Linked DNA regions of Macaca mulatta. The protein of the gene in region 1 purifies or fractionates together with the protein of each later gene. This does not show direct contact. Links are inferred from orthologs where the notes say so. Each region holds a gene or a part of one and is shown on either strand. Other genes may lie near its edges.

The links.
Region 2: the proteins of NKX2-1 (region 1) and FOXA1 purify together in Homo sapiens (affinity purification with western blotting; 3 studies listed by BioGRID and IntAct, with this or other methods). This does not show direct contact. The link is inferred for Macaca mulatta from reciprocal best matches to the Homo sapiens genes NKX2-1 and FOXA1.

The regions. Positions count from the first base shown.
Region 1 is NC_133412.1:109,634,587-109,639,966, reverse strand, and holds the start of NKX2-1 (homeobox protein Nkx-2.1), read left to right. Parts: upstream 1-2,123; 5' UTR 2,124-2,596; intron 2,597-2,863; 5' UTR 2,864-3,020; coding exon 3,021-3,097; intron 3,098-3,468; coding exon of another isoform or gene 3,469-3,482; exon of another isoform or gene 3,483-3,680; intron 3,681-3,777; coding exon 3,778-4,163; intron 4,164-5,125; coding exon 5,126-5,380. Other genes in the region: uncharacterized protein LOC144330237, read right to left, coding at 208-871, 3,469-3,482. UniProt on the Homo sapiens protein: Transcription factor that binds and activates the promoter of thyroid specific genes such as thyroglobulin, thyroperoxidase, and thyrotropin receptor. Crucial in the maintenance of the thyroid differentiation phenotype.
Region 2 is NC_133412.1:110,733,039-110,738,374, reverse strand, and holds the start of FOXA1 (hepatocyte nuclear factor 3-alpha), read left to right. Parts: upstream 1-1,798; 5' UTR 1,799-2,249; coding exon 2,250-2,321; intron 2,322-4,703; coding exon 4,704-5,336. UniProt on the Homo sapiens protein: Transcription factor that is involved in embryonic development, establishment of tissue-specific gene expression and regulation of gene expression in differentiated tissues.

The sequences.
Region 1 (5,380 bases):
GTGAGGCTGCGCCAGGGAAAGCTCCGCGAGGGGCCAGTGTTGGGCCCTGCCCTGACCTGCTCCCCACTGTGCCCACTCCACCCCGGAGCAAGTTAGTTGCGGGATAAAGGAAGACGCGCAGACTTCGCGAAGTGGAATCGGGGTTATTCGTATTCATGGAAAAAAAAAATCACTGGTTAGCCGGGGTCTGCCCTATTTAGCATGAGTCTAGGAGGCGGCGGAAAGAAAGGACGCTCTTCGGTCAAAAGGAGGTGTTTTGGGCCATGGGAGGGACTCTCGAGGTCTTTGCTTGGATAAGCTCGGAGATACAGATATCCTTCTCTTCCCCACAGGTGCCTTAGTCTCCGGGCTTATTTTTGGCAGTGCAGAGGTACTGGTGAAGAAGGCAGAGCCGCGCGTTGAGAAGGTTAGGGTAGGAGAGGTGCTGAAGCCTGGGCGGCAGGGCGCTGCAAAGGCCCAGGCGAGGTGGAGACGAGAGCTTGCTGGTGCGCGCGAGAAGCACCCCTGCAGGCAGAGGTTGAAGCGCCGTTCCAGTTGGTCCCAGAGTGAAGCGGGAATCTTTGCCCGCCCCAGCCACTTCGAGCTCCGCTCCAGTTCAGCTCCCAGATTCGCCACCTGGCTCCAGTTCAGCTCCCAGACTCGCCACCTGCTGCGCGGTTCTTGGGGAGGGGGTTCCTTGTCCAGAACGGGGAGGGGGGTTTCCTCGAGAACTGCAGGCCCGGTTGCCCCGGGACTCTCAGAGCCGGAGGCCAGGGAGCTGCCAGCCACGTGCGCCTGTGGCCTGCTGAGAGGTTGAAAAGCTGCCGAGGGACGAAGACCCAGGGGCTGTGGAAGATTCACCCAACTCTTCCTTTTACTCAGGTCTGGGGACCTAAAGAGGGGATGGGGATCGTCATGATAATAACTACCGCATCTTCAGTGCTGGCACTGAGCTGAAAAACATTTAAAGCTTTCAAAGCACTTTGATGTGCTCTATCTTACTTGAATCTCACAAAAACATTGTGAAGATTGATCTCCATTTCTAAATGGTGTTGAGACTGGGAGAGATGTACAACATTCTACACTTGGTGTTTCTTAAACTTACCAACAACTATGAAATAATGGCGAGTCAGAGAAAGAAGCTGGGTGACAGGGAAACCCACCCCGCCTTCGAAATCAGACCCCATTCGGGACGCAGGCCCGGCCAGGTCGTGCCTGCAGACAAGGTCTGTATTCAGCGTTGCCAGTTCTCCTCTGTGGTTCGCTTAAGCCCGGCGTCGCCTCCCCTCCTTGCTTAGCCACCACAGTAATCAATGCTCAGTTCGTCCGGTCCTGAGAGCGCCCCCCAGAGAAGCCCCTGGGAAGGAAGGGCAAGGAGCGGGGCTTCGCGCTGGTCTTTCGCAACACAAGCGGCGAGCGCATCTCCCTGCGCAAACGTAGAGTGGCCTCCCCAGCACTGCCGTGGGGACCGCACAAAAACGCGGGCGCAGGTGGGAGGGCGGAGGGTGCCCTGAGCTTTCTTTAGCCTGGTAAAGAAGGTAGGCTGTGAGAAAAGCCAATGTTAGTATAGACGTTGGCTTTGTATTGAGGGAGTAAGAGCACTCTTCAAGGACAGGGCTGAAATCTTTAAAAACAAATAAAACTTTCTCTACTATAATTGCTATTAATAATTTTAAAAAGGGAGCCTGGATGAATTAAGTAGCTCAAAACTGCCTGTTCATCATCATCAGGAGCTCCCTCTCTACAAGGAGGGGAAAGAAAATGTGAAAACAAAAACTAAATTCGAGAAGCTCCTTGACCAGCGCGGTTGTCTTGCAGGTACCCGCCAGGCCCGGCCGAGGAGCGCTCTGCCCTCCCAGCCCCCGGCGCGCAGAGGAGGCTAAAACAACCAAAAAGAAAGCAAAACAAAAACAATAATAAAAACGTTTAAAATCCACGGAAAAAAACCGGAGTCGGTCTCAAAATCCGCGCCGTTCAGGGCTCCACTCGGTAGTCGACTCGGCTGCAGGCCCCGGCCTGGTCCGAACAACGCGGGGGACACCCCCGACTCCGCTGGGGATCGCAGCCCACAGCTCCCCCTCGCCAGGCGCCCAAGGACCCTCAAGGCGCGGGGCCCACACTTGAAGCCTGGGAACGCGCAGACAGGAAACCCACTTCCTCCTAAGCAGTTTCTTGCTCGTCGGATGAGAGGCGCCCAATTGAAGCAGAATGATCCTCATCTACTAATATCCAGCGTGGCCACAAAGCGACTGGCCATTTACGCCACCACTTTAAACAAAGATATTTGGTTATTCCCGGGAAGCAAGTGCACTTTTGCATGGCTGAGCTGCGGGCGGAGGCGAGCCTCAGCCCAGCCTCCCGCCCGCTGAGCTTCCCGCACCTCGGCATTCGCCCCCTCCTGGCCAGCGCTCCCGCCGCCGGGGTTCAGGCTCAGTTCCGCCCGGCAACAGACTGGCGGGCACTCACTCCGCTCCCTGCCCGCGCCCTCCCTGAAGCATCGGAGGGGAAAACAGCGTGGCTCTGGGCTCGGGTGCTGGGGCTGTGATGTCCTCGGAAAGTCAGCTTCAGCCCCAGAACCCCGCGTGTCTGGGAGATGGGCGAGGGTCAGGGACACCAGGTTTGTTCGAGGTGGGGCAACTTCAGTGACGGACCCTCCCGTGAGACCCCTTCCCATCATCCCAGCTCGGGGGGCCAGTGCTGTGTTTGCTCGGCCGGGGGTGGGGGTGGGGAAAGACCTGGGGGGAGGCGTGTTGGTGGGGGTGGCCCACTGAAAAACCACTGAGCTGCGGGGGCGGGTGGTGGCTCGGGGATCCGGGACAGCCTCCGGGAGGCAGTCGATCCCCTACTCAGCGCCCCCTCCGCCCGCTCGGATTCTCTCGGGTAGGGGGAAAGGGGGCGGGGAGCAGAGGTGTCCCTCTGACGGCGGCAGAAGAGAGGCAGACAGACTGACAGACACGTAGACCAACAGTGCGGCCCCAGGGTTCGTCCCCAGACTCGCTCGCTCATTTGTTGGCGACTGGGGCTCAGCGCAGCGAAGCCCGATGTGGTCCGGAGGCTGTGGGAAGGCGCGGGGCTGGGAGGCCGCGGCGGGAGGGAGGAGCAGCCCCGGCAGGCTCAGGTGAAACCCCCACCCCGTCCCTCGGCCCTCTTCTCCTAAAGACCTGTTCATGTCCGGGGAACCCCGACCGAATTGGAAAGTGGTTCCACTTTGTAACTCAGCAAGTTGGTTGCAAAGCAGCATTCACCTTCCTTCCTCCCAACCATCTCTCCTCCTCGGTTACTCCCCCACCCCACCTCCTGCCCTCCCCGCTCTCGGTTCCCTCCTCCTTCCCCACCCCTCCACCTCCTCCCCGCGCTCCGCTGGTACCCCACAAAAAATGGGGGTGGGGGTGTCCAAGGGAGGGGGGAATGCTTTGGGTCTCGTCTCTGCCTCTCTCTCTCTCTTTTGAGACCTAAAAATCCTGACAAGTGAAACTTAAAGGTGTTTACCTTGTCATCAGCATGTAAGCTAATTATCTCGGGCAAGATGTAGGCTTCTATTGTCTTGTTGCTTTAGCGCTTACGCCCCGCCTCTGGTGGCTGCCTAAAACCTGGCGCCGGGCTAAAACAAACGCGAGGCAGCCCCCGAGCCTCCACTCAAGCCAATTAAGGAGGACTCGGTCCACTCCGTTACGTGTACCTCCAACAAGATCGGCGTTAAGGTAACACCAGAATATTTGGCAAAGGGAGAAAAAAAAAGCAGCGAGGCTTCGCCTTCCCCCTCTCCCTTTTTTTTCCTCCTCTTCCTTCCTCCTCCAGCCGCCGCCGAATCATGTCGATGAGTCCAAAGCACACGACTCCGTTCTCAGTGTCTGACATCTTGAGTCCCCTGGAGGAAAGCTACAAGAAAGTGGGCATGGAGGGCGGCGGCCTGGGGGCTCCGCTGGCGGCGTACAGGCAGGGCCAGGCGGCACCGCCGGCCGCGGCCATGCAGCAGCACGCCGTGGGGCACCACGGCGCCGTCACCGCCGCCTACCACATGACGGCGGCGGGGGTGCCCCAGCTCTCGCACTCCGCCGTGGGGGGCTACTGCAACGGCAACCTGGGCAACATGAGCGAGCTGCCGCCGTACCAGGACACCATGAGGAACAGCGCCTCTGGCCCCGGATGGTACGGCGCCAACCCAGACCCGCGCTTCCCCGCCAGTAAGTGAGGCCGCCCCACTGCGGGGCCGCGGGCTGAGCTCAGGAGATGAGGCGAGAGCCGTCCAGAAGGCGCGGCGCCGGCAGGCTGCGCGCTGGGCATCAGGGAGGGCGGCCCGGCAGCGGCGCCAGGGACTTGGGTGCGGGAGCTGGGGATGCTTCACGCTGCTTGGCTGGGGATCCAAGAGCAGGCACTTGGTAGCGCTGGGGTCCTGCGGTCAGATGCGGGTACTCGGCGTTTCCTAGGCGCGGTGGACTGGCAGTTCTGTTCCGCGCAGAAGACCTCGGGGAGCCGAGGGAAGCGACCCCGAGCTCAAGGAGCAGGGGCGAGCAGAGCGCGGAGAGGCTAGGCCCGGCCAGGAGGGAGGCTGCCCTGTTGGGAGGCACTCGAGCGCCCGTCCCGGCCCTCTCTCCAGCGGAGTCTGGGCAGGTGGGAGGACTCGCAGTTCCAGAGGGGACTCTAAGGGGCCGAGCAGGTGCCCTCACTGAGGCCGACAGGAGAGAAGCCAAGAGGCAAAGCGTCTGGGGGCTCCAGCTTTTGGAAGTCAACACCCCCTTTCCTAACCTCTCCAAATTGGGGTCTACCGTCGGACCCCAGCTCCCTGCCTGAGCCCAGTTCGCCGCCTGTGGCCAGCTAATCCCATTGCTCTGACCTGGGCTGGGCACGAAAGGAGCAGAAGCGGCCTTTCCCCCAATGCGTCTTTTGGTTCGAAAGAGGGAACTGAGACTGAGGGAGGGCAACCAGGGTTGAGGCTGTGAGCGCTCTAGTGCAGCCCTCGACGGCACGGCCTGGGGCAGGCGCTGGCAGTTCCCCGCGGATGGGCCTCTTGGGGCCCAGCGCTAGGCTGCCTGGGTCAGGAGGGCGCCGTCGGGTTGGGGCGGGCCGGGCGGGCCAATGGCGCGGAAAACAGGGGTGGCCTGGCTCGGCCTGGCCCCGGCCGACGCTGTGCGTTTGTCGCTTACAGTCTCCCGCTTCATGGGCCCGGCGAGCGGCATGAACATGAGCGGCATGGGCGGCCTGGGCTCGCTGGGGGACGTGAGCAAGAACATGGCCCCGCTGCCAAGCGCGCCGCGCAGGAAGCGCCGAGTGCTCTTCTCGCAGGCGCAGGTGTACGAGCTGGAGCGACGCTTCAAGCAACAGAAGTACCTGTCGGCGCCGGAGCGCGAGCACCTGGCCAGCATGATCCACCTGACCCCCACGCAGGTCAAGATCTGGTTCC
Region 2 (5,336 bases), about 1.1 Mb from region 1:
AGTCAGCTACTGATGGGAACTTTGCAAAAAAGAATTAGTTTCTGACACACAATTCGCAGATACATTTACACAAACTGATGGGACAACTTGCAGTCACAGGAGAAGGCTGCATTAGGGAGGGTTCCTGCCCTCCTGAGGTCCAGGTGGATTTAATTTCATTCATTCCTTTCCTTATGTGACGTTTCTATCCCCCACCCTTTTTGTAAAAAAAAAAAAAAAAAAGTAATCCAATGCTTTTATCTTTTTTATTTCCTTAACTGCACATCTTCACCCTCTCTGCTCCCCTGCTGACTTAAGAGATTTGTTTGGTTCAGGGATTTAAAGTGATTCGCTTGCCAGATTTCAAGTAGAAGAGATTGAAAAGAACAAAGCACAGGGAAAAAGGTATCTGTTTGGAAAACAAGTTAAAACATATTTCTTAAAATGAGATTAATAACATTTTAAAAACTTTGCAAAACAAGAAGATTTTGCGGATTCTTAATTACTTTAGATTTTATTTTATTGTTACTTAAGGAAACCTAGTGGTTCTACAGGCAGTACAACAAACCCATGGTCACAGGACACTCAGAAACAAACACACTCAGTCACACGTGCTCAGAAATACACAAACGGTCACACAGTCAGAAACACACTCACCATCTCCCAATCTATCACCAACTCATTGCCTATCACCCAGTCACTTCAGTATTCTCTCTCCTAGGACAAGTGGGCAATCCACCACCCAGGGCCTCAGGAGAGTAAAGAGACTTTGCGTTGGGGAGACTCTCCCACCGACGTCCAGGACCGATTAGGAACCAAGTGAGCCCCTGAGATCTCAGCCCGGACCCTCCGGGTCACAGGACCAAGCGCCGCTGCGGGCAGTCTCGGGCTTCTGCCTGGCACCTCTTTCGCAGTGCACACGCGTTCCCGCGCCCAGGCCCTTGCTCTCCCAGCTAACGCGCGTGTTATGGGAGATGTCCCCTCCCCCTGACCTTTTCCTATCAGAAACCAGACGGTCGTCTCCAGCTCAGTCCCTGAAGCTGCTGAAGGGGGGCGGGAGGAGGAGCCCGGCAGAGGGAGGACGGCCCGACTTGGGTCTGCCTGCCCTATCACACAGACATCTGCTCTCAGTTGCTTCCTCTTTATGGTCGCTACAGATGACAGGAGAGAGGAGCGGAACGAGGCGGAAAAAAAAAAGTTATGTCATAAAGATATAAACCGGTGCTGTGACTCACCTGCTCTTAGCCGCAGGTACGAGTTTCGTGGCAGCGCCTCCGCTCTGCTAGCCGGGAGCCCGGGTCGGCCTAACGTCACTTGGCTCGGCTGACTCAGATGACCCGGTTTCTAGTGACGAAGCAAAAGTGGGGCTTTTTCCCTTTTCTAGTCGTAAGCTCAGGAGGAAAGAAAGAAAGAAAAAAAAGTCTGTATTCTCCAGTCTCCTGGGGTTGAACTTTGGGTCAGGAATCAGGAGGGAGGGGGCAAGGAGAGCAGGAGGGGCGCGAGACTGGGCCGCAGCCCGCGCTCAGAAGGTGGCAAGTACCTCTGGGGAGGGACCCCGGGGTCACTTAGCCCACAAAGTCTCTAAGCCCAGTCTCCGACGCCACCGCCCCCAGCCTTCTCTGGCTATGAGGTTCCCATCTAGACCCCTAGCCCGCCCGCCTGGCCCCGCCTATTTTTTCTTTTTCCAAAGGGTGTTACACCCCCTCCCACCCCACTTCCCTCTTTCCCTAGCCTCCGGGCCTAAACCAATTACACTGCTTTGCAAACAAAGTGAGGGCCGCGCTTGGGGGAGGGGTTGCGGGGGAGGGGGGGCGCGCAGCGGTGGCGCGGCGGGGCGGGAGGCGCGGCGGCCGGACTGGCGGGCGGCCGCCTTGCAGGTGCACCTCGGGCTTTGTAGGTGCGAGCGTCTTTGTGCGGCGGACAAATGGGGAGAGGACGAGGAGGTGGGCACTCGAGCGACGTAAGATCCACATCAGCTCAACTGCACTCGCCTCGCAGAGGCCGCCCGCTCACTTCCCGCGGAGGCGCTCCCCGGCGCCGCGCTCCGCGGCAGCCGCCTGCCCCCGGCGCTGCCCCCGCCTGCAGCGCCGCCGCCGCCTCGCAAGCCGCGCCCCGCAGCTCTGGGCTTCCTCTTCGCCGGGGTGGCGTTGGGCCCGCGCGGGCGCTCGGGTGACTGCAGCTACTCGGTTCCCCTCCCCCGCCCCGCGCCGCGCGGCCGCCCGTCGCTTCGCACAGGGCTGGATGGTTGTATTGGGCAGGGTGGCTCCAGGATGTTAGGGACTGTGAAGATGGAAGGGCATGAGACCAGCGACTGGAACAGCTACTACGCGGACACGCAGGAGGTGAGAGGCGAGACGAGGCGGGCGGCCGGCGGGGCGTCGCTGGAGCCCGTGCCGGGGGAGGCCGGGGAACGGTGGGCGCCGGGCAGGGCGGACAGTCGGGCCGGGGGCGCCTCCTCGGTGCCACCGCTGCCCGCCCGCCGGTGTGGTCCCGGCCGGGCCTTGGCCGGGCCTGGAAGCGGGACCTGCTGCCCTGCTCTGTCCCGACTCTAGCAGCCGGAGAGGGAGTTTTAGGAAACTCCGGGCTTTGAAAACAGCGGCCCTGGGAAGCACTTGCCTCTTCCCAGCAGCGAGCGGGAGCAGGAGCCGGGCCCGGGGTGCCGCGGGCGGGCGAACGCTGGCGCGAGTTGGAAGCAACTCTGAGAAAGCCGGAGCATACCCGCAAGGCGACCTCTTCGTCCCGCCGTTTAATCCGCAGACGTCTTCTGATTAAAGCGCTCTGCCGCCAAGTTGGGTGTCTCAATAATGAAACGATTTCTAAATTTTGTAAAACTTGTTCTTCAAAAGCCCTATGTGGGGAGAAGTGTGCGCCTTCTCTAAAACCGCTGGGTGGCGCTAGTGCGACCAGAATCTTCTTCAGAACTCCGGGCCGAGAACCTGTTTCTCTTCATTGTCCCCTTGGTGGCACGTTCATGGGGGTTATTTTTACAATGTGCACAAAAGGATTACAGGGAAAACCAGGTACAGGGAGGACTAGCACCTATTAAAAGTATTTTTCTGGAAACAGCTGGCTATTACCCCCCAAAAGTTTAATTACCATTATTGAAAACGCGTATTGGAACTGCCTTGGATAATCTTGGGAAGAGGGAAAGAAAATAAAGCCCCAAAGTAAAAAAAGAATTTTAAGACGTGGACAGAAAAATATAGAATCACGTAATATTTTGATGGTAACTAACTTATTTAGATTTGTATATTCACAAGTTTACCTCTGAGTTTATTTGCATACCATAGTTTACTGGGTGTTCCTATTTAAATCTATTTGTTCTCATGTTTTCAAACTGAGTCATACTTGCTGATGAAAATAAACTTAAGGACATCATTATTCCTTATTAAATTATCAGTGGAGTGCTTTTTAATATGCCTAGGTTCTGTATGTTTAAAATACTGTACCGAATGCATTCCCACATTGCTATTGATAAGGATTTTCGCTTGCTGATGATTTTTAAAGCAGCTCAGAGGTCTTCCAGAGATTTAATTCTGACGCAGTCATCTCGACCCTACCATTCAACTGAGACCCCTAGCGAAAGTACTTTCTAACATATTAAAGCTGAGAATTAGGAAATACAATAGCATAAGAGAAAATAGGTAGAATTTTATTTTTGAATTTTAAATTATTCAAGACTACTCACGGAATTTCAAAGCCGGGCATTGAAATCATCAGCAGCAACATCAGTATGTGGGAAAAAAAAGATTTATTTTGACAAACTGTGTCACCAGTATTTTTAAATAGGGGACGGTGAAGTGGTGACAAAATTAATGCGAGTTTCTAAATAGCTTGCAGAGGTGTACATGCAAAGTCACGTTAAAATAAAATGCATATAGCACATTGAGATTATTATGGCACCCCCTCCCAGCCCGTTCTGTTATGGATGTACTTTTAGTTTGATTTTTCCAAAACTTATTTAACTTCTGAGTTTGCTTCCCTTTTTAACATTACAGTTGCTACAAGCAGGTAGAAAACAGTACTTCTAAATACAATAAAAAACAAAAAGTCACCATAAGCAAAAACTCCTAGGACAATAAAGCCACTTGTTGGGAAATAAATGATTCAGGGGGTCCCATGTCCATAGGTGATTTGCTCTATCAGGGAGTTTCATTAACAGTCAGCTATAACAACCGAAACCGCTGTGCGGTCAGCCAGGCCTGCAGACTCAGGCGAGGAGGGCACAGAGCTGGTGCCCTGTGGCCCGCTCCGTGGGCCTGTGACGCGGAACCCATTGCACCCTTAGGGTGAAGTGAATAAGCAGAGGGTCAGAGATTAATTCTATTTTCGGAGTTTTAAAGACATTTCCCCCCAAAGAGCGCTTTGCCGAGGCTGGCTGGGGTGGAGACTTGGAGACCGCCTAGCGTGGATGGAGGAGGCGATGAGGGGGCCCTGGAAGCCAGCCCCTGAGCCTGGCGTGTAAGGCGATTACACATCTTCCTGGGGACATATTTTCTGTGAGCGCTTATCTTTCATGCCTGTCGCGCTAGGATTTTCCCCCGACCGTGCAAGACATCTTTGCTCGGTCTGGGGAGGGCGCTTAGCCGTTTGCCCTGGGTGGGGGTGTCCCGTGTTCTGCAGAAGTGCTCTGCACTTGCCCCCGGATTAACTCCCGGCCGGCCGCCCTCCGGTGCCCACCACTAACCCCGCCCTCCGGGGCTTCTTCGCTGTCTCTGCTCCAGGCCTATTCCTCCGTCCCGGTCAGCAACATGAACTCAGGCCTGGGCTCCATGAACTCCATGAACACCTACATGACCATGAACACCATGACCACGAGCGGCAACATGACCCCGGCGTCCTTCAACATGTCCTATGCCAACCCGGGCCTAGGGGCCGGCCTGAGTCCCGGCGCCGTAGCCGGCATGCCCGGGGGCTCGGCGGGCGCCATGAACAGCATGACTGCGGCCGGCGTGACGGCCATGGGTACGGCGCTGAGCCCGGGCGGTATGGGCGCCATGGGCGCGCAGCAGGCGGCCTCCATGAATGGCCTGGGCCCCTACGCGGCCGCCATGAACCAGTGCATGAGCCCCATGGCGTACGCGCCGTCCAACCTGGGCCGCAGCCGCGCGGGCGGTGGCGGCGACGCCAAGACGTTCAAGCGCAGTTACCCGCACGCCAAGCCGCCCTACTCGTACATCTCGCTCATCACCATGGCCATCCAGCAGGCGCCCAGCAAGATGCTCACGCTGAGCGAGATTTACCAGTGGATCATGGACCTCTTCCCCTATTACCGGCAGAACCAGCAGCGTTGGCAGAACTCCATCCGCCACTCGCTGTCCTTCAATGACTGCTTCGTCAAGGTGGCGCGCTCCCCG